2 linked regions of the Cricetulus griseus genome follow. The protein of the gene in region 2 interacts with the protein of the main gene of each other region in a pairwise test. Links are inferred from orthologs where the notes say so. Each region holds a gene or a part of one and is shown on either strand. Other genes may lie near its edges.

Region 1 (10,827 bases), on a different chromosome or scaffold from region 2:
GAAGTCAGAGGAAGGTGTTGGATCCCCTGTGTCTGGAGTTACAATTGGTTGTGAGCCATCATGTGGTTGGAAACTGAACCTGGGTCCTCTGCAAGAACAGCCAGTGCTCTTAATTCCAGCCCCAAGGCTTTCATTTCTATGTTCAGTTTAGATATCTGTGAGTTGAAGGCTCACTGGGCTCATGCTAGACTCAGGGTGGGCATACACTGGGCAGTAACTGAGAGCAGAAACACAGAAGCAAAGACAACAGCAGCATGGCTTACCTTACTAATGTGAAACTCCAGGCGTCGCATGTACCTCTCAATTGTTTTAATTTGCTGGAATTAAAAGGAGAAGCTTGAAAAAAGGGCAGCCATTCACAGCGCAATCAATTAGGCTTGTGAGAGTAATTTCAATAGCGTGTCCTCTGCACAAGCACTGGAAATACGGTACTTATTACTTCCTCTTTCCTCCCACCTTGACCACTATTTTAGGGTTGTTCTAATGTTAATTTTGAAAAACAATTTTTTTCAAAACACTGACTATCGTGAGAGATAAGCTTGAACTAATTATGGTCATCCTGTGTTTAACACTAAGGTGGCCAATCCATTCGATTTCTGGTGGAGCGGTCTCATTTTTTGTATGTTTTAAACTGAGCTTTTTGCCCATTGAATTATGCCTGAAACTGGGGTACATTTTATAATTGTTATTTGTCCATTGTGGCAGTTAGCCATGGGTTTGGGTTTACAGATACAACTGCTCATGACAGCTTTATGAGTCATAAATATTGTTGTAACATACATTTAATTTAATTACTCTTTAAAATATCGTCACAGAGACTATATCATAATTTAACATTTAAATAAAGCTATGTATATAGAATGGCATGGAGAGTCACATTGTATACAACTAAAAAGGAAGACATAAAAATCTCACTTCTAAAAGGCCTGAAAGAATTTTGTCAGTAAGAATATATATGTATATGTATACATATTATGTGAAAAGAAAGAACTAGATTTAAGTGTAATGATTTTCTATTTAATAATTTATTTTTATTTTTTTAAACATTAAATTATATATGGAATATGTAGTGAAAATATATATTTTAGTGGCACATAAACAATTGTGGCATTTTCTGATCAGAGATGTCTCATATTTGACATCTACTTAAAGGCCACATGGAAAGGACCTCTACATCCAAGTTCCAGACTCACAGAAACCAGAGCAAACACACAACCAGGAGGCCCTGTTTCCCCTCAAGCCAAATGCCCTTTGATTCTGGAGTGCCTAATGCTCATTCATCCTTTAACAACAACAACGAAAACGATTTTTCTTCCCAAGATGAGAAAATCATCCTTTATCTGGACTTGTACTGTCTACCCCAGGGTCTCTTACTGACATCTGCTCAAAGTGCAGAATTTCACTTCCAGCAACACCCCAACACAGAACGATAGCCTACCTTGTCTAGGTCATATAGCACACCCTGAAATAAAAAGAAGAGCCCCTGGTTATAACACATCATCCTCAGAAATGCCGTAATAAGCGGCGCGGCTCACATTTCTACATTGCTTGAGAAGGAATCACAGCCCCACAAAATTTACTGGATTTTTTGGTATCTGCTTTTACTGAGTAGAACTCTGGGTTATTTGGAATACTCTCAAGAGCCAGCATCACCTCACCTCTGTGATTCTATGACTGCACCCTATGCTTTCCGGCCTCTCGGCAGCTTTAAGGGTTCATAAAGAAAACCCAGAGAAGTCTGTCTGTCAGAAGTGGAAGATAAACACAACTGCAAGGCCTACCTATGCAGACTTGCCTGGGGTTTTGTGCTGCCCTGAAAGGCTAAGGTGTGATAAATAACACTTGGGTGTGAACAAAGTCAGTCCTCACAAATTCATCAGAATAGAGCACATTCTCCATCCAGCATGGGACTCAAAGATGCTTTCACTCTGGCCTTAGTGACCTTCTTCCCTACTTCCCTAACTGCTGCCACTGGCTGAGCTGGTTAGTTTTTGACACAAGCCAGGGTCATCTGAGAAGTGGACCGTCAATTGAGAAAAATGCTTTCAGGTTGGCATGTAGGCAAGTCTGTGGTGTGGGAGAGTCCTGCCCATTGTGGGCGGTACCACTCTTGAACACTTGGTCCTGAGTACTATAAGAAAGCGGGTTGAGCAAGACAGGAGGAAGAGACAGTAAAGCAGTGTTCCTCCATGGTCTTCTCTTGCCTCCAGGTTTCTGCCTGACCTCTCTCTATGATGGAGCATAGTCTATAAACTAAAATAAATTCTTCTGCAAGTTGCATTTGGCTACGGTGTTTACCATAGTAATAGGAAGCAAACTAGGACATTGACCCATATTTACAAGTGGGAAGTAGAGCAAAAAAAAAGTTCTTGTTTCTGAATTCTGAATGAACTAAGGTGATACTAGGAAAACAGCAACATATTTTGTTATATTACAGAGAGTTTTCTTTTCTTTCAAGGATTTATTTATGTATTTCATATATATGAGTGCTATGTCTGCATGTATGTCTGTATACCAGAAGAGGGTACCAGATCACGAGCTGCCATGTGGGTGCTGGGAATTGAACTCAGGACCTCTGGAAGAGCATCCAGTGATCTTAACCACTGAGCCATCTCTCCAGCCCTACTTAGGGGAGTTTCCAAAAACCATCCTTATCATCTTTATTTCACTATGAAGTATATCTATATAAACACATAGCACATGCTCAGAAGAAATAAGAATAAAGCTTTCAAAAGAAAATAATCTTTTTTCCTATTATTTATTTATTTATTTATTTATTTATTTAGTGTGTGAGACAAGGTCTCACTATAGTATAGCCCAGGCTGGCCATTTTCCTGTCTCAGCCTTCCTCCAGCAGGGATTACAGTTGTGAACCACCATGCTCAGATCTTCTTCCTTCCAAAACATAGCTTTGTTAAGCATTTCTCTCTTCCCCTCCCCTCCCCACCTCTGGTAAGCTAGGAGTGGAAACACCTACCCCCCCACCTTATGTTAGCATCCTCGTGGTCAGAGGGACTTACCAGGCGAGAGTTTCTTTTCATATCTTTTAACTGAGCGGTCAACTTGTCCAGCTCCGTCTGGTGAAATTCCAGGTACTCACTGCAAACATAAGACATCATGGTGAGCTCTCACTTCCGGAGGGACCTTGGCAGTTGCTGACCTTTGCCTTTTGAGTTAAGAATAGGAATCTCAGTCAGTCACACCATAATCTCAGTACATGGGAGACTGAAACAGGACTAATAAGTATTCTAGGCCAGCCTGGGCTTTACAGTAACTCCCAGGCGAGCCTGGGTTACAGAGTGAGACCCTGCCTCTCTCTCCTCTTGGAAAAAGAATCAAAACTTTGCTCCGTGGCTGGGGAGCATTTTGGAAACACTAGTAGTTACATCTGATCTTGTCTAGTTTGAAGAGAGGGCGAGAGATGGGGCAGGGAAGGGGATGTCCCTGTGAAGATGAAAACCCAGAAATGAAAAGTCAACTGGGAGGGAAGAGTCAGGCAGGAGTTTGGTCACACAGTTTTGTCACCTTGTAGTGACTGCAGGTGCCTTACCAAATGCTAGGCAAGGTTTCTTCTGGACAAATGGTTTCAGAACCCTTTATAGCGTGTTTACATGTGTATATGTTTGAGGCAGGTTGTATATTACGCCATCCAGGCTGACTTTGACCCTTTGATGATCCTCCTGCCTTGGCCTCCTGAGTGCTGGGTAGAATTACAGGTGGGATCCACCACACTGGGCTCAGAACCCTTCCTCAGCAATCTCTAGTGCAGCTATGGCTGTCCACCACCGTCTAAATAAAGTCCAACCCTGCAGGGATTGGATTTCACTTAACAATAAACACATGGACACTACAAACACATCGCCGTGTCAATCCTGCTTCAGTGTCATGTATACATGCAATTCCAACTGTCTCCCATCTAGGAGACTTACTAAAAGCTTCCTCAATTATAGAACTGGAAGGAAACACCCAGCGAAGTATGCTTTTTTCTTCTGCAGTCCCAGCACTTGACAGGTAGAGACGGGGTCAGAACTGCATAGTCATCGTTGTCTACATAGGGAGTTCAAGGCCAGCCTGAGCCACATGAGACTCTGCCTCAAAACCAAACAAAATATATGCCGGGCATTGGTGGCGCACACCTTTAATCCCAGCACTCGGGAGGCAGAGGCAGGCGGATCTCTGTGAGTCTGAGGCCAGCCTGGTCTCCAGAGCGAGCGCCAGGATAGGCTCCAAAGCTACACAGAGAAACCCTGTCTCAAAAAACCAAAAATAAATAAAAAAATAAAAAAATAAATAAAATAAAATAGGGCCGGGCTATTAGCTTTTAGGAAGGAAAAGGGTTATTTTAGGAAGGAAAAATGCCCAAAGTGCTTTGTCAAGTCTATTGTTCTTACTCAAGTCCATTTTTCAAGGCTCTATAGACCTCCTCCACTCTCTTTGGCTGAGGCTCTTTGGGAGTGTTGTTATTTTTGTGTCCTAAATTGTGCATTTTCTTCAGTTTGGCCTGAGGCTTCTTGAGAGCAGAGGCATTTTCAATGAAGGAGTTACACCTAAAGAAAGAGAAAGGAGACTGTGAGTCTCAGACATCAGAAAGACCCACCAGGGAAACGCCTTTTAAATCTTCTTGCCTTCATCCTGTGCCCTGGATAAAGGTAACATGACCCTGGACAGCTACAGATCCCAACTGACCACATTTCCTTTCTTGATGTTTGTTGAAAGTTTCGCTGGGCAGAGGCTACCCTGTGGCATAGCCTAGCTTTGAGTTGTATGTCTTTTGAGGGTGCCCTTGCAGTCTAGCTCAAAGCGAGCCAGGAATAAATGTTCCAGGTGGAAACAATGAACAGGTAGAAGTTATATCAAACTAAAAGAAAGAAAGTTCTTTGCATAATATCAGATACAAACTTATACAAACAAAACCACATGTAGCTTGTACTCAGAACTCTCCTTGGAGTATTATTTATATTATTTTACTTTATTTTTTGAATTCTGTTTTTTTGCATATGGGATCTGTGTGTGTGTATGTGAAGGGGCTAGTGCATGTGTGTGCACACGTGTATGGAAGTCAGACACCGACTTTTGGGTATTGTTTTTTAATCATTCTTCTTCTTATTTTTTTTAGACAGAGTCTGTCTTTAAACCTGGAGCTCCTTTGGAAAGGGAGAGCATCAGCCATCAGACAAACCAAAGATGAGTTTCCTTGCATGTTACCCATTCACTCTCTGTACTTCCTTGGGTTTATGAGAGGAGGTGATTCCAGGGAAGGTAGGGCCTAATTTCCCAACTCCCCAGGGTCACGCTGAGGCATGGTCTTCATTCACTGTCTACTTTCATACCAAATACAGTCTCCAAAACAGGAAGGTAATGGTAAGTGTGCTTTAAAGGGGTTGGAAATGAGGCAGGAGGGAGTCCACACTCTTAGGTCCATGGCTAACTGTGGTACCTATTAGCATACCAAAGTGCACACTTGCCTCCAGGCTCTTTCAGTGTGGCAAGTACCTGTTACAGAGTCCATGCTGGCACCCTGGTTCTTCTCACCCGCTTCCAGTACTAACCTTTTCCAGCTCATGGGCTTTCCTTCCCCTAGTGTCTGATTCCTATACAACCCTGCCATTTCAGCCATGTATTTTCTTGGCCCTCTTTGCCACCTTTCTTGGCCCCCTCTCCCACTCCCCCACCACACACCCACCCCATGGCCTAGTCTAGTCTGCTGGCCATGCTCAGTGTATTACTTTCTCTCCAAGCTCTGGACTCTTCCAGATGCCCCTAGCTTTACTTTCCCTCATATCTCCATTAAAAACCATCCCCCCAACCATACCTCTGATGAGTCATGTCCCCAAAAGTGAGGACATGACTGCTCATAATAGCTAGGATGAGCTAGCCATTTACATACACACATCTTTGCACAAGAAATTCTGAGTGATATAATGACTGCACTTAACTCTGGGTGAGTTATGTTTTCCGTGAAGAGGACATTAACTACCACACACATGCACGTTGGTGTGGCACACACACCATCATCAGCTCCTGCCTCTTTTCTGCTGCATCCCAGGAGGAGCACCCAGCACTTGCCTGGATCGCCTTTCCTGCAGGCCGCTAAAGCCCGCGAAGGACTGGCTCCGGATGATGCCATTGGGCCCTCCAGGCGAGAAGGATTGAGATCCCACCAGCATGATTTCTGGGAGTCTGGTTGGCAGTCCTGTAAGATAGATGGAAGACCATGATGACTGTCAGGCAGGTTCGCACAGAAACACTGAGCTTGTCGACATCCACAGGTGTACAAGGTTAAGTGACTCACGAGGTCCTGGTCATGAGGGCCATGAAATGCTTCTGAGACTTTCCTAAAAAGATACTCATTTATACCAAAGTAAATATTATCACACAAGTTCCTGCCACTTAGGTTTCCTTTGGGGGTATGTGTATATGATGCACATATGTTTATGTGTGTTTGCATGCGTACGGGCACGTGTGCATATACGTGTGGATTCTTAAGGTGATGGTAGGAATCTTCCCAGACAGTGTTCATCTTACTCATTGTGGCAGTCTCTCAACCAAGTGCAGAAATTGACAATATGGCTAGTTGACTTAGCTAACTTGCTCCAGGGATCCCCTGTTTTCAACTTCACAGTGTTGGAATTATAGGCCGGCTGCTACGCCTTCCCAGAATTCATGTGGGTGCTGACAACTGGCACTTTATCCTCAGGCTGCACACTTACTCACTGAGCCAGTCCCCATCTTCCCAACCGACGCATGTTTTCTTAGGAGTGCCCACTCTTCCTTCCTTCCTTCCTTCCTTCCTTCCTTCCTTCCTTCCTTCCTTCCTCCTTCCCTTCCTCCCTCCCTCCCTCCCTCCCTCCTCCCTCCCTCCCTCCCTCCCTCCCTCCCTTCCTTCTCTCTCCCTCTTTCTCTTCTCTCCCTTCTCCTTCCTTTTACCCAGCCCCCCTTCTTTCTTAGGTTCAACCAAGGTTTACTAAAGATAAGAACATTTGTGATGGTCCAGTCCATTCAGTTGCAACAACAACCCTGCACAAATGAGCCACCATCAAAATTTCAGATTGTCTAACAACCTGAAATTCAAAACATCATCAGGCCTACGGATGGGATTTTATGTTTAAGGCTGAAAACACGAGGTTTCTTCAAAGATGAACTTATTTAAACTCTCTCCCCCTTTCTCACTAAGTTGGCTGGGCAAGTAAGAAAGGGTAGAAGGGGTGCTCACAAAGGAAGTGATAATCTGGGTTAGATAAGAAGGCAAGAGAGGTAGGCCTCCAGCCTTTTTGAACCTTTCTTCAGTTGTTTGTTTGGCTTTGTGAAGATTCCCTGTGACAGACTAAGGTGCAGTGTCAAAACACAACTTCAACTGAACAGAGGCCCAAGGTTAGTCCCCCAAGGGACTGTCCTAGAACTGTGAAGTAACCCTACCCATAGTCAACCAAAGTATGTACCATTGTCTCAGCAGGTGACATCAGCCCAGACAGGGGCTGAGCTACTAGGAATAGGTGAGTGCCCACATTGAAACCTCCCAAGGTAGACACACACCAATTAGCATCACCCATTGTTCTTTAAGGGACCTAGGAGAAAGAGAGAAAAGCTAAACTCTCAGGGAGCAGACTCCCTTCCACACTGCCACAGGGCTTTAAATTCCTTATTGCTGGGGACAAGGTGCTCATTCACTGGGAAGTCAGTCTGGGGATGAAAAGTAAGCTGGCTTTTCCATGGGATGGGACAGAAACCTCATAGCTACCAAAGACAGAAGGGATACTCTAGACTTTTAAATGTAATGAAATAGAAATCTGTAAAGCTAATGGGCTGTGCGCAGTGACTAGGTACAATGAAGCTGTCCCTCGTTACTCCACAGAGAAGCCCAGTTTCTTGAATTCCTCAACAAGTTCCCATAATTGCTCTCTCTGGTCCTTAGGTTTCTATCTACATTTCACTGAGGACATGGTCCTTGGGCTCACAGAGCCAGCCCACACAGCATGATGTCACCTGCAAACTTCTAAACATCATGAAGAGGGCATTGTGGCTTGTGTTCTTCACTCCATTGATTTATGCTTGTTTTCCCTTGGTGCTAGGGATGGAAACCAGGGCCTCCCCCATGGTAGTCAGGGGCTCTATCACTGAGATTCACTCTCACTCCTGTATTCAATAATTTGACAACCAAAACCTAATCTCATTAAGTATCAACTTCACAAATCTTTTAAATTTCATGTTATTATTTTATGTGTATGGTTCTTTTGCCTGAAAACATGTCTGTGCACCACAAACTCAAAGTGCTAGCTGAGGCCAGAAGATGGCGTCTGTAACTGGAGTTATAGATGGTTGTGAGCTGCTAAATGGGGTGCTGGGAATTGAACTCAGGCCTTCTGGAAAAGCAGCCAGTGGTCTTAATATCTGAGTTTTCTCTGCAGCCACATCTTGAGGAATCTTATTAGTATCGTGTCTCATGTTGTAAATTGTTCATCAGGTCTAATGAAGCACAGACACTTGATTAAAACATGAATAAGCTTTAAGGCTGTTTAAAATATTTGACTTTCACACTTCCTAGAAGTTATGTGTATATATTCCTCTTGGTGTGATGTTTTGAGATAGAGTCTCACTATGTAGCCTGAATTGTCTTGGAACTCACTAAGCTGCCCAGGCTGACTTTGAACTCATATCAATTCTCCTATCTTAGCTGTAGGCAGGGTCTCACCATGCAGAACTGACTGGCCTGGAACTTGCTGCATAGAGAAGACTGGTCTTATACTTGTGATGAGCTTGCTACCATTGCTCCTTTGTGCTAGCACAAAAGTATGCTGAAGTTTGATTTTCTTTTTAAACTCCAAAGACTTTTGTCTCTCTCTAATTCTTTACAACAGTAGATTAAGCTACAGTGGCCTGGCTCCAAGCCTCAGGCATTCTAGGATAATTAATACAGGCAATGACCTGTTTATACAGCTGTTCAAAAGGCCCCTCAGGTGTTTTGATGTTGGGCAGAGTTGGGATGATACTGCTTTAGAAATTCCATACACAATCACTTGCACTTAAGATAGACTTGAAACAAAAAAGGAGAACAAGAGAACAGAGGAAAAACTGTAATGTTGGGAAAAATGTAAAACCTAGAAGAACATTACAATTGAACAAATTCAAATGTTTTCTTAAATTTTATTCTTCCTTTTATTTCTATTTTATATTCATTTATTTACATTGAGGCCGGGTATTGTTATATAACTCAGGCTGGCCCGGAATTCACTATGGGGCCCAGGTTTGGCCTTAGTCCCCTGAATGCTGGGATTATTGTCTACCATGCTTGCTATTCAGTATTCATGTTACTAAGCCTGTGGAATGCTTGCCCATCACTCGCAAGACCCTGGGTTCAATGCCAAGCACCATGCATGCACACAAATCATTACAGAAGTGGTTAATGCGTTGTGGCATAATCACTAAGGTAGAAAACTCTGTCATAGTGAAAACAATGATAGGCAGAGTCGTGCATGCATGTCATCCCAACACTCAGGAGGCTGAAACAAGACGAGTGAATTCAAGGCCTGTCTTGGGATGTATAGTAAGATTCTGTCTCAAAAATCCAATAGTAATACTAAACTGTCATATGATTTTCTTAAAGAAATAAACCCTAGGGGCATACTGGGCAACAGTATAATATTAAGAATAATAAAAAACAAAGTCATAGAGAACTATGCAAATGGATGGAAAAGTTATGGAAGCATAGACAGTTGTCATGGGCTGTGGGATTGAATGGTAGTCAGCAACATTGTAGTATTTTCTGCATGTTGGTCTTATAGAGATTAATGCATGTATTATTCATGGATGTGAAATTTCCTTCTTGAGATTCCAGGCCCTTGGAGTTGGGAGTGGAGAGAAGACAGCTTACTTCAGAAATCATGTAAGAGCCGGGCGGTGGTGGCGCATGCCTTTAATCCCAGCACTCGGGAGGCAGAGGCAGGTGGATCACTGTGAGTTTGAGACTAGCCTGGTCTACAAGAGCTAGTTCCAGGACAGCCTCCAAAGCCACAGGGAAACCCTGTCTCGAGAAAAAAAAAAGAAATCATATAAGGTAGCTTTGGGGTGCCAACTTTGGTTTTTTATTTATGTCTTACAGAGAAGAAATATGATTTCTAAGAAACAAGGTAGTAGTAAATTTCAAATATTTTGAGTGGATTCAAGCAAGTCACAATTCCCATAATGTCCTTATTTTGAATTTTGAGATATATAACAACTTCCTGACTCTCATTCAAAACTGTTAGAGATCACACCAGATTTAGATTGCTACGCTTCATCAAAAGCATTTCCAATAAGCAGAGTTTCATATCAAACTACAGACTCATTTTTGGATGCTGTTACTCATATTCAGGACTGCTGGAGCTTTGCAAAAGAAGACTTTTTGGAGCTGGAGAGATACCTCAGCTGTTAAAAACACTGGCTACTCTTCCAGAGGAAGGTTATCACATGGTGGCTCACAACCATAACTCCAGTACCAGGGATCTGATTCCCTCTTCTGGCCCCTTTGACATTGTATGTATGTGTTGTATATATATGTATGCCTATGGTACACATACACACATGCAGGCAAAACACTCATACACATAAAACAATTAAAAAACAAAAAGACTGGTCTTTTTGAAAACTACAGTTGAGTCAATATTCATCTTTATGCATTAAAACCTAGAAGGGGGGGGGTTGTGTGTGTGGAGAAGTGGTTCAGTAGCTAAGGATGATTGCTTCTCTTATAAAGGACCCTAGTTTGGTTTCCAGCACCCAGACTAGATGGCTTACATCCTCCTGTATGTAACACAGCTCCAGGGTACCTGGTGCTCTCTTTTGGTACCAACA
Region 2 (10,727 bases):
AATCCTGTTGTTTTTTTAAAAAAAAAAAAAAAAAACGAAAGAAAGAAGAAATGTTCAAGGCTAGTTAGTAAGTAGATAAAGGTGTATGGTTTGAAAAGGTGGGAGACTTGGCTGGCAAAATGGCTCTGCAAGTAAAGGCAGTTACTGCCAAGTCAGAAAACCCGAGTTTGATCCCTGGGACCCACAAGGTAGCAGAGAAAGTTCCTGGAAGTTGCTCTCTTACCACCCACCATATGTTCTCACATGTGTGCCTTCTCTCCAACAAATAAATGTATTAGTCAATGTAGTTTTTAAAAATTTACAAAGGAAAAAAAAAAGGAGATAGAGAAATGATTGTGTTACGTTTTTAAAAATTTTGTGTGGGGGGGGGTGGGGGAAGGAAGGACAGGGAGAGGAGAGCGTGAGCACATTGACCTCAGGTCATCATGCCTGGCAGCAAGTGCCCGTTTCCAGAAGATGGCACCAGATCCCCTGGAACTGGTGTGGGTGCTTGGAATTAAACCCGGTCCTTTGCAAGAGCAGCCAGTGCTCTTAACCTCTGTGCCCTCTCTTCAGCCCAGTAAACACCTTTATTCTTTAAGTCATCATGCTGCTCAAATCTCATTTTAAGAGGCATGAAATTCCAAGTATAATTGAGTATAGTCCTAACTAAACTTTGATCAATGTAGACCAGGCTCATGTTTGCAGTAGTCCTTCTACAAGTGCTGAGATTAAAGGTATATGCCACCACACTCACTTTTTTGTTTGTGTGTTTTGTTTTTTTGACTGTGTTTCTCCTCTGTAGCCTTGGCTGTCCTGGAACTCACTCTGTATACCAGGATGGCCTTGAACTCAATGAAATCCACCTGCCTCAGCTTCACCTTAAAAAAAAAAAAGAAAAAAGAAAAAAGAAAAACATTAATTTATGTGTGAGTATATGGATGCCATAGTATATGTGGAAGTCAGAGGACAAGTTGTACTAGTTGGTCCTCCTTTTACCCCGTGGGTCCCAGGAATTGAACTGAGGTCAGGCTTGATGGTAATTACGTACCTTAACCAGCTGAGCAATCTCACCATTCCCCCAGATGCTTGCTGATACATTCTTAGAGACGGGGTCTCCTTGGGAGACAGGCAGGACCATTTCAGAACAGCCAGGACTATTTCACAGATCCTGTCTCAATTTCAATAAACAAACAAACAAACAAACAGGGAATCATAGGACCCAGGCTGTATTCAAACTTGCTATGACTCTGACTGAGCACCTGTTCCTCCTGCCTCTACTTTCCAAGTGCTAGGATTACAGGCATGTACTACCACACCTGGGTGTTCTTGGTGTTTTCATACAGTCTCACAATGCCCAAGTTGTTTTGTATGGTTTTGAGGTCTAGGGATTAAACCCAGGGTTTGGAAAATGTTAGTCAACTGTTCTACCACTTAGCTACATCTCCAGTCCTTAAAGGTACAGGGTAGTCCAGGCTTAAAATCATGTCCCAGTGTGTGTTGCAAAATTTAGTTTTGATTTTATTTTTCAAAATAACATATACTATAGCTTACACGGGCCTGGAACTAGGCATACCCTATGGTCTCATGCTGGAAGTAAGCCTCCTGCCTGTGCCTTCCAAGTGCTAGGATGACAGGCATGAGCCATCATGCCAATCTGTAAAATATTCATTTCCCAGGTTATTCATTGTTAGGGTATAAAAATACAGTTGCTGGCCGGGTGGAGGTGGTGCACACCTTTGATCCCAGCTCTTGGGAGGTAGAGGCAGGCCCATTTCTGTGAGTTCAAGACCAGCCTGGTCTACAAGAGCTAGTTTCAGGACAGCTTCCAAAGCCACAGAGAAACCCTGTCTTCAAAAACAAAAACAACAAGAAGAACAAAATGCAATTCTGTCTCTTGGCAGGTTTTCTATGCTGGTAATCTGAACTCGCCCTCATGCTTGATTAGCAAGCACTCTACTGAGCCAGCCCCTTGATGGATGGATTGTTTTGTTTATTATTTTTGTCTTGCTTTTGTTTTGAAACAGGGTCTATTGCGTTATTCATTCTGATAATTTGTATGTATTTTGTTTTGTTTTTGAGATAGAGTCATCATACTATTGTCCAGTCCCCATTTATAGTACCCCTTACTGCCTCAGCCCCTCAAAATTATAGGCACAAGCTACCATACCAGGCTCTGGTATTTTCTTCAGTAGATTCCTTAAAAATTCTTACCTAATGGTTTTGTATAGAAGTGACAAGAAGAAATGTCTGTTTTGTTCCTCATCTTATGGGATGGCTCTTTTTTGGTTTTGGTTTTGGTTTTGGTTTTTCAAGCCAGGTTTTCTCTGTCACTCTGGAGACCAGGCTGACCTCCAACTCACAGAGATCCGCCTGCCTCTGCCTCCCAAGTGCTGGGATTAAAGGCATGCGCCATACCGCCTGTGGGATGTTTCTTAATCTTTAATGTTAAGTATAGTTTTTGGTATGTAGCTTTTAGATGCCAAATAGAACATTGTTCCAGAATTTTTAATTTGGGAGTGCTAGTAAATGCTTCCTTCCTACCCCCATAGCCAGTAAAATGTGTCATAGTCTGGGGCTGCTTATGGATTCTTATACATTCTAGATAATACCTTTTGTTTATGTTTAAGGGATGGCTGCCATCAGGAAGAAACTGGTAATTGTTGGTGATGGAGCTTGTGGTAAGACATGCTTGCTCATAGTCTTCAGCAAGGACCAATTCCCAGAGGTTTATGTGCCCACAGTGTTTGAAAACTATGTGGCAGATATCGAAGTGGATGGGAAACAGGTGAGTTCAAGTTCCATAGTAACTGATTTCTTTGAATGTTAGGCTAGGCTGTTTTGTACACAGTGCAGCAGAAATGTTAGAAACAGAAGTTGATTTCCCCTGCCACCTTTCTTTTGGGATTCTGGTTGGTTGATTTATTAGTTAGTTTTTGAGACAGTTTCCTATAGCTCAGGCTGGTTTCTGTATCACTGTTGAACCAAGGCTGGCCTTAAACCCTTGATTTTCTAGACTCCATCTTGTTTTTATTTTTGAAATGGGGTCTCAAATATTCAGGATTTTTCTTCCTCAGCCAACTACATGAGGTCATTAATTACAGGTATGTGCAGTGATGCCCAGCTAGTATAGTATGTTAGATTAGCTGCTCTAAATTGAGGATTTATCATTGTAGATCCAGAAATACAAATAATATAGAGAATACAGGCTGGGCATGATAATTCAGGGAGGGAGGAAATCAGAGGACCTGAGTTCAGTTCCTAACACCCACATGGGCAGCAGGCGCACATTTTATGTAATTTGTGCATACATACAGTTAAAACATTCATACACATAATATAAAAATAAATAATTTTAAGTTTCAGATCAGCTTCAGCTAGAGAGTAAGAGGGTGCCCATTAAATAAATAAATTCAAAAATACGTTAACTAAAAGGGGGCTGGAGAAATGGCTCAAATGTTAAGAGCACTGACTGCTCTTCCAGAGGTCCTGAGTTCAATTCCCAGCAACCACATGGTGGCTCACAACCATCTCATAATGAGATCTGGTGCCCTGCTCTGGCATGCAGACATACATGGAGGCATGAAGTTTTTATTCATAATAATAAATAAATAAAATCTTTAAAAAAAATAGGTAACTAAAATAGATGAGTAAATGGAATTAGGGATGTAGCTCAGCTGGTAGAGCAAATGCGTTCAACCTCCAGTACCACCTGTGTGGCGGCTTGTTTCTGATCATAGTACTTGGCTGGTAGAGCTTGGAAAATCAGAAATTTAAGGTCATTCTCAACTACATTTGAGATAAACTAGGTGGAAATTTGTTGAGATCTTAGCATATATACTCAACTGATTTGGCCAGGTCAGCATTTTTGAAGGTCATTTCTCAAAGGCCTAGTGAATGTATTACTGATTTTATTATGACATTCCATCTGTATAAAGTAACTGTGAGGTGTTGTGTTTCTGTAACTATGCACTAAAAGGATAGTTTTGGGGGCCAACAGTATGTCCTCTTTGGCATATTAACTTAGCCTAGAGACAGGGTTTCTCTGTATCTTAGGAGGCTGTCCTAGAACCCACTCTGTAGACCACGCTGGTCTCGAACTCACAGATGCCTGCCTCTGCCTCCCGGGTGCTGGGATTAAAGGCATGAGCTGCCACTGCTCAGCCTACTGTTATCAATCATAATGTAAGTATCTTATATATTTGGTATATGACCCCTGTGAAAGTATCATTTGATTCCCAGGTTGAGGCCCACTCCTCTAACATATACCCTTTCTTGCTCTTAAAATTCATGGCCTCAGTGTGTGTGTGTGTTGTTGTCTCTAAATATATAAGTACAACAAACTCAGTCTGTATAACATTAACTTTATGTTATGTTTTCAGAGCTAACCATTTGGAATTGATAACTAGTTGGTGTACTCTTTTTCTGGGAAAGACTGTTTCTCCAGCTCTCAGCTGGAGTTGCCCTTAGTTCCTTGTGTAGGGTTTTATAAACTACAGTGGTTTATTAACTGGACATTTGGATGTATAGTGTTCTGTTTATAAATTTGCTACTTTGGCCCCGGTGGTGGCAGCGCAGGCCTTTAATCCCAACACTAAGGCAGTGGCAGGCAGATCTCTGTGAGTTCGTTACCAGTCTGGTCTACAAGAACTAGTTCCAGGACTGCTTCCAAAGCCACAGAGAAACCCTGTCTCGGGGTGGTGTGTGTGTGGGGGTGCTATTTTGATTATACTGTTTAAACAACCTGTATTTGATTCTCAAAAAGATGAATGGCACTTTTTACTATTTTGGACAGTTTGCTGTTTGTATATAGTGAGTGTCTTTTTTTTTTTTTTTTTAAATGGGTAGTAATATTAACGTTGCACTTATGTTGTTGTTTTTCCTATTGTAGGTAGAGTTGGCTTTGTGGGACACAGCTGGACAGGAAGATTATGATCGCTTGAGGCCTCTCTCCTATCCAGACACTGATGTTATACTGATGTGTTTCTCCATTGACAGCCCTGATAGTTTAGGTGAGTAGCTTTGCAGGCTGGTTGCTTGTCACTGCCTATTTAGATGTGAAGGATGTGTTTTGGGAGTCCTTTTCGTTAGTCAGTGGTTGCAAATCAAATATTCTGACATTATTTCAGAAAAGTAATCATGCCAGGAGTTGGTGGCTCACGCCTTTAATCCCAGCACTTGGGATGCAGAGGCAGGTGGATCTCTGTGAGTTTGAAGCCAGCCTGGTCTACAGAGCTAGTTCCAGGACAGCTAGGGCTGGTATACAGAGAAACCCTGTCTTAAAAAACAAAACAACAAAAACTCAAAGCTCACCTCCACAGTGACAAACTACTTCAAGGCCACACCTCCTTTTTGTGCCATTCCTGTGGGCCAAACATTCAAACTCATGAGTGTGTGTGGGCCATTCCTATTCAAACCACCATAAGAACCCAGAGCAAGGTAGAAAGAGAAAATGACCTTGGCAGCTATGACCTTTCTACCAGCAGTGACAGGCATGGCCTGTAGTGAGCCTTTTACTGTGGGGCAGAATCCAGAGCTCTTATTTGGATTCCCACCCCCCAAGAAGCTCAGCAACACCTTTTCACTCTTTGTTGGTTTTTGAGACAGGGTTTCTCTGTAGCTCTGGCTTTTAGAACTTGCTCTGTAGACCAGGTTGGCCTTAAACTCAGAGATCCTCTCACCTCTGACTCCTTAGTGCTGGTATTAAAGATATGCACTGCTACCGCCCAGCTTATTTTGCCTTTTTCTATGATTTTTGAGATTAATGGATTTTTAATTTTCATTATATAGTGCCCCAAATGTTCTTTTAATGGTGTGTGTATACTTGAAGGTCAGAAGACAGTAAGGAGGAAACAGTTCTCTTGTACCACTAACTGGAGTCCCGTTGGTGACAAGCACCTTTACCTGCTAAGTGATCTTGCCAGCCCCTGATGTGCTTTTGAAACAACAGTGGAAAGGGAAATGCCCTTAAAATTTAACTAGGGTTCTTAGAGTTCTTCAAAAATGGAATTAGAATTTATTCTCAAATACTGTACATTTTTTTCTTTCAGAAAACATCCCAGAAAAATGGACTCCAGAAGTCAAGCATTTCTGTCCCAATGTGCCCATCATCCTGGTTGGGAACAAGAAGGATCTTCGGAATGATGAGCACACAAGACGGGAGTTAGCCAAAATGAAGCAGGTATGGTGTGGGGGTGGGAGGAACTGGAGTTTGGTTTTCCTTTTTTTAAATCAAGTCTCACTGTGTAGCCTTGGCTGGTCTGGAATTCAGACATCTGCTTACCTCTCTGTTTCCTGAGTGCAAGGATCTTAAGGTGTGCCCCACTACACCTAGCTTTCCCTATTGTAGTCTTAAATTTTGTCACCCTGAGGAAACCCTCACAAACCATGCTATTACAGAATACCAGAAGTCCTTTGCAGACCCAACCTTCATTGGCCTGACCAAAAGGATTTCCAGAGGCTCCTTAATCACTAAGATGGAATGTCTCTTAAGAGTTAGATGTGTTCCTAAGGACTGGCACCCTAGGAAGAAACCATCTCAGCAGAAGTTACTGCTTCAGATACAGGCAGCTCCTTTCCCTCTCCAGTGGCCAAAGAAACGGGATACCCTAAAGGTAGTTATTAGTCCATGCAGAAGGTCCAAATTCCATTTTAATAAATAAATCTTGACCTTTCAGGAACCAGGTGCTCTAATGTCAGAACTTCTCTAGCGAAGGAGTGTTAACATATTTAACCCAAAGAAACCCAGGTTTCCACTCTTGACCTCAGTGTTAAGGCCAGGCTCTAGCCATTAGCAGGTATTCAGTCTCTAAAGCTATATAGAGGCAATAAATGCTCTTGTTATTATCTAACTTGTGCCCTTGCACTGTACTCAATAAACTATTTTTGGGCAGGGAGTACAGTTCAGTGTCTTGCTTAGCACCAGTGTATAGCAAAAAAGGTTATGTATTGCCCTGAATTCCTTACTCAGTCTCCCAGTTTTTCTGACCTCTCTCTGCCTACAATAAAAGAGCAGGTTTAAGACATTAGTTTCAGGGTATGCATATACGTTTTGAGAATTTTATGAAAGAGCTTAGAGCTGGGCAGTGGTGGTACACACCTTTAATCCCCACACTTGGTATCTCTGTGAGTTTGAGGCCAGCCTGGTGTACAGAGCTAGTTCCAGGATAGCAGGCTACACAAAGAAACTGTGTCTCAAAAAACCACAATAAATATAACAGCTTAAAGCAGGGTTGATTGAAGTCTTTTCAGCCAAGAGTGGTGCCATGTGCCTATAGTTCCAGCTGTTTAGGAGTTTGAGGCAGGAGAATCATCAGGTCATCCTCAACAACATAAACATAGGCCCTGTCTCAAACAAAACAGAAAAACAGTCTTAAGCCGGGTGGTGGTGGCACACACCTTTAATACCAGCACTCGGGAGGCAGAGGATCTTTGTGAGTTCAAGACCAGCCTGGTCTACAACTACCAGCTAGTTCCAGGACAGCCTCCAAAGCCACAGAGAAACCCTGTCTCAAAGAAAGAAAGGAAGGAAGGAAAGAAAGAAAAGAAAGAAAGTCAATAAATGCTTTGTATCTTCCTAAGTAAGACTGAGCTGAAGCTCTCTTCTCTCTCTACTAGGAGCCGGTAAAACCTGAAGAAGGCAGAGATATGGCAAACAGGATTGGCGCTTTTGGGTACATGGAGTGTTCAGCAAAGACCAAAGATGGAGTGAGAGAGGTTTTTGAAATGGCCACGAGAGCTGCTCTGCAAGCCAGACGTGGGAAGAAAAAATCTGGGTGCCTCATTTTGTGAAGCCTTGTGCAAGCACAGCCCTCATGCGGTTAATTTTGAAGTGCTGTTTATTAATCTTAGTGTATGATTACTGGCCTTTTCATTTATCTATAATTTACCTAAGATTACAAATCAGAAGTCATCTTGCTACCAGTATTTAGAAGCCAACCATGATTATTAATGATGTCCAACCTGTCTGACCAGCCAGGGTCTTTCTGACACTGCTCTAACAGCTCTCTCTGCACTCCACCTGACACCAGGCGCTAAGTCAAAGAATTTCTTAACTTCTTGCTTCTTTCTAGAAAGAGAAACAGTTGGTAACTTTTGTGAATTAGGCTGTAACTACTTTATAACTAACATGTCCTGCCTCTCATCTGTCAGCTGCAGGGAACTCTGGTGAGTCACTAAGGCAGAGCTTTACTCCTTAACAGATTACATTGGCAGAGCTCTGGGGAAGGCATCCAGGGTTTTGAGAACTTGCTCAGCCAGAAAGGCCGAAGTCCACGCAGCTGTGGCAGATTTGCAGTTCTGTGGTCTCATGTTAGTTACCTTATAGTTACTGTGTAATTAGTGCCACTTAATGTATGTTACCAAAAATAAATATATCTACCCCAGACTAGATGTAGTATTTTTTGTATAATTGGATTTCCTAATACTGATATTTGTCATTCCCACAGAACGTGTATTGTTTTTTGTTTTTTCTTTTCTTTCTTTCTTTTTTTTTTTTTTTAAGAAAGTGTATTTGGAAATAAAGTCAGATGGAAAATTCATTTTTAAAATTCCCATTTTGTCACTTTCTCTGATAAAATATGGCCATATCTCCCCTATTCAGCCCTATATATCACCCCAGTACCCCTTTCCAGACTGAACTAAGTAAATAGAAATTTGGTTTCACGCCTGAGGCAGTTACACCTTTGAGGTGGCATAGCCTTTCTCACCTGGACTGCAGGGTCTGGCTCTAAGTCACAGTGCTCCTTTATCCACACTGTATCCAAGTTGCCTCCCAGGGGAGCCACCAGTTCTTAAGGGTGGCAAGGGAGGTTTTCTCTTCTCTCCAGCTGACTAAACTTTTTTTCTGTACCAGTTAATTTTTCCAACTAATAGAATAAAGGCAGTTTTCTAAACTTCCTGTATCCTGGTGTGTGTTTTGCTTTCAACTGGGCTAGGGACAGGAGATGGAAGACTCAGCTTGCATGGTTCTAGCTCCTTCCACTCTCAAGCTCATCTAGACTAACGTGGCTCCTCCCATGAACATGAAATGACTATCCTGTACACATCCAAATCTAAAAAGAGGAGTCGGGGGCCCTGTAAGGTGAAGGGGGAGCTGGATTTTCTGGACTAAGACCAAGCGGGGGGAGGGGGCAGAAAAATAGGACCACCAGAGACATGGATGTTGGAGTGCTCTTGTCCTGAGAAGGGCTGATGCCTCTGTCGTCCGCCTTCCACCTAACCCTTTCTAAAACAGCCACAGGAACTCACTCTGACAGCCAGTTCTCAGTACTATTAGAAACAACACAGCGGGGCACACCTTTAATCCCGGCACTTGGGAGGCAGAGAGGGAGACCAGCCGCGTCTACAAAGCGAGTGCCAGGACAGCCTCCAAAGCTACACAGGGAAACCCTGTCTTGAAAAACCAAAACAACAAAAAGCCTCCTAAAAGAAAACTCCATACAACATGACTAGGAGGGGAAAGTTACACAATATAAGTGAGCTGCTTCAGCCGTTACGGACTGCGGCCAGCTTCCTAGGCGGGACCCTAGACTAATTAAACCGTGAAGAGTCGCCATGGCGGTTGCCTCTAAACCAGTACTGCATTGCCTGGGCTAGACCAGACGCGCCCAAGACTCCGCTAGGCGCTTGGACCCGCCGCACCCTCTGGGCTGGCCCTAGCTGGGGGAGGGTAGAGGCCGGATAAGGCGGGACCCTGGAACCTAGAGCGGGCTGTGGGGCCGGAAAAAAGCGGATACCACGTGACCTCACCATCTACCAGTTAAAGGGGGGTGCTGGGCTCCCACTGCACCAGTGTGGCTTCTGTTTTGAGCTCACCAGCTTCTGCATCATGTGTGCAGCCCGGCTCTCCGCGGCGGTGCAGTCCACCGTGTATGCCTTCTCCGCGCGCCCGCTGACGGGCGGGGAGCCCGTGAGCCTGGGCTCCCTGCGGGGCAAGGTGCTGCTCATTGAGAATGTCGCGTCCCTCTGAGGAACAACGACTCGGGACTACACCGAGATGAACGATCTGCAGAAACGCCTCGGGCCCCGTGGCTTGGTGGTGCTCGGTTTCCCGTGCAATCAGTTCGGACATCAGGTGTGCGGGGCAGGGTCGGGAGGAAGGGGCCCCGGGCTCCCAGAGGCGGGATACCCGCTCACTTTCCCTCTGGTGTTGGTAGCAGTTGGAATTCAGGCCTGTACCGGGGTTGTGCAAGGCGGGCAATTCCTGGTGACTCATGGGAAACTCCTGTTTTGCAGTGTTTTCTGAAATCCTAGACCATAAATGCTTTTGTCTCCTCTAGGAGAATGCCAAGAACGAAGAGATTCTGAATTCCCTCAAGTATATCCGACCCGGTGGGGGGTTCGAACCCAACTTTACATTGTTCGAAAAGTGCGAGGTCAATGGTGAGAAGGCTCACCCGCTCTTTACCTTCCTGCGGGAGTCTCTGCCAGCGCCCAGTGACGATCCCACTGCGCTCATGACAGACCCCAAGTACATCATTTGGTCTCCGGTGTGCCGCAACGACATTGCCTGGAACTTTGAGAAGTTCCTAGTGGGCCCCGACGGTGTTCCAGTGCGCAGGTACAGCCGCCGCTTTCGCACCATCGACATTGAACCTGACATAGAAGCCCTGCTGTCCCAGCAGCCTAGAGGCTCCTAAGGCATTCCTGGCATCCGGGTTTGGTGAGCTCCGGCTGCACTCTGGGGGAAGTTCTTCCATGATGGCGTTATCTCTAAATTTGCATGGAGAAACACCTGATTTCCAGGG

Evidence for each region. The genes of interacting proteins can lie anywhere in the genome.
Region 1: the proteins of Rhoa (region 2) and Ripor2 interact in binary tests that used the Homo sapiens proteins (3 or more experiments, as listed by UniProt). The link is inferred for Cricetulus griseus from reciprocal best matches to the Homo sapiens genes RHOA and RIPOR2.

What each region holds. Positions count from the first base shown.
Region 1 is NC_048596.1:245,933,251-245,944,077, reverse strand, and holds the start of Ripor2 (rho family-interacting cell polarization regulator 2), read right to left. Parts: upstream 6,186-10,827; 5' UTR 6,168-6,185; coding exon 6,067-6,167; intron 4,548-6,066; coding exon 4,392-4,547; intron 3,100-4,391; coding exon 3,021-3,099; intron 1,463-3,020; coding exon 1,439-1,462; intron 318-1,438; coding exon 264-317; intron 1-263. UniProt on the Homo sapiens protein: Acts as an inhibitor of the small GTPase RHOA and plays several roles in the regulation of myoblast and hair cell differentiation, lymphocyte T proliferation and neutrophil polarization.
Region 2 is NC_048597.1:216,502,887-216,513,613, forward strand, and holds the end of Rhoa (transforming protein RhoA), read left to right. Parts: intron 1-2,609; 5' UTR 2,610-2,611; coding exon 2,612-2,767; intron 2,768-4,870; coding exon 4,871-4,991; intron 4,992-6,029; coding exon 6,030-6,160; intron 6,161-7,596; coding exon 7,597-7,770; 3' UTR 7,771-8,882; downstream 8,883-10,727. UniProt on the Homo sapiens protein: Small GTPase which cycles between an active GTP-bound and an inactive GDP-bound state.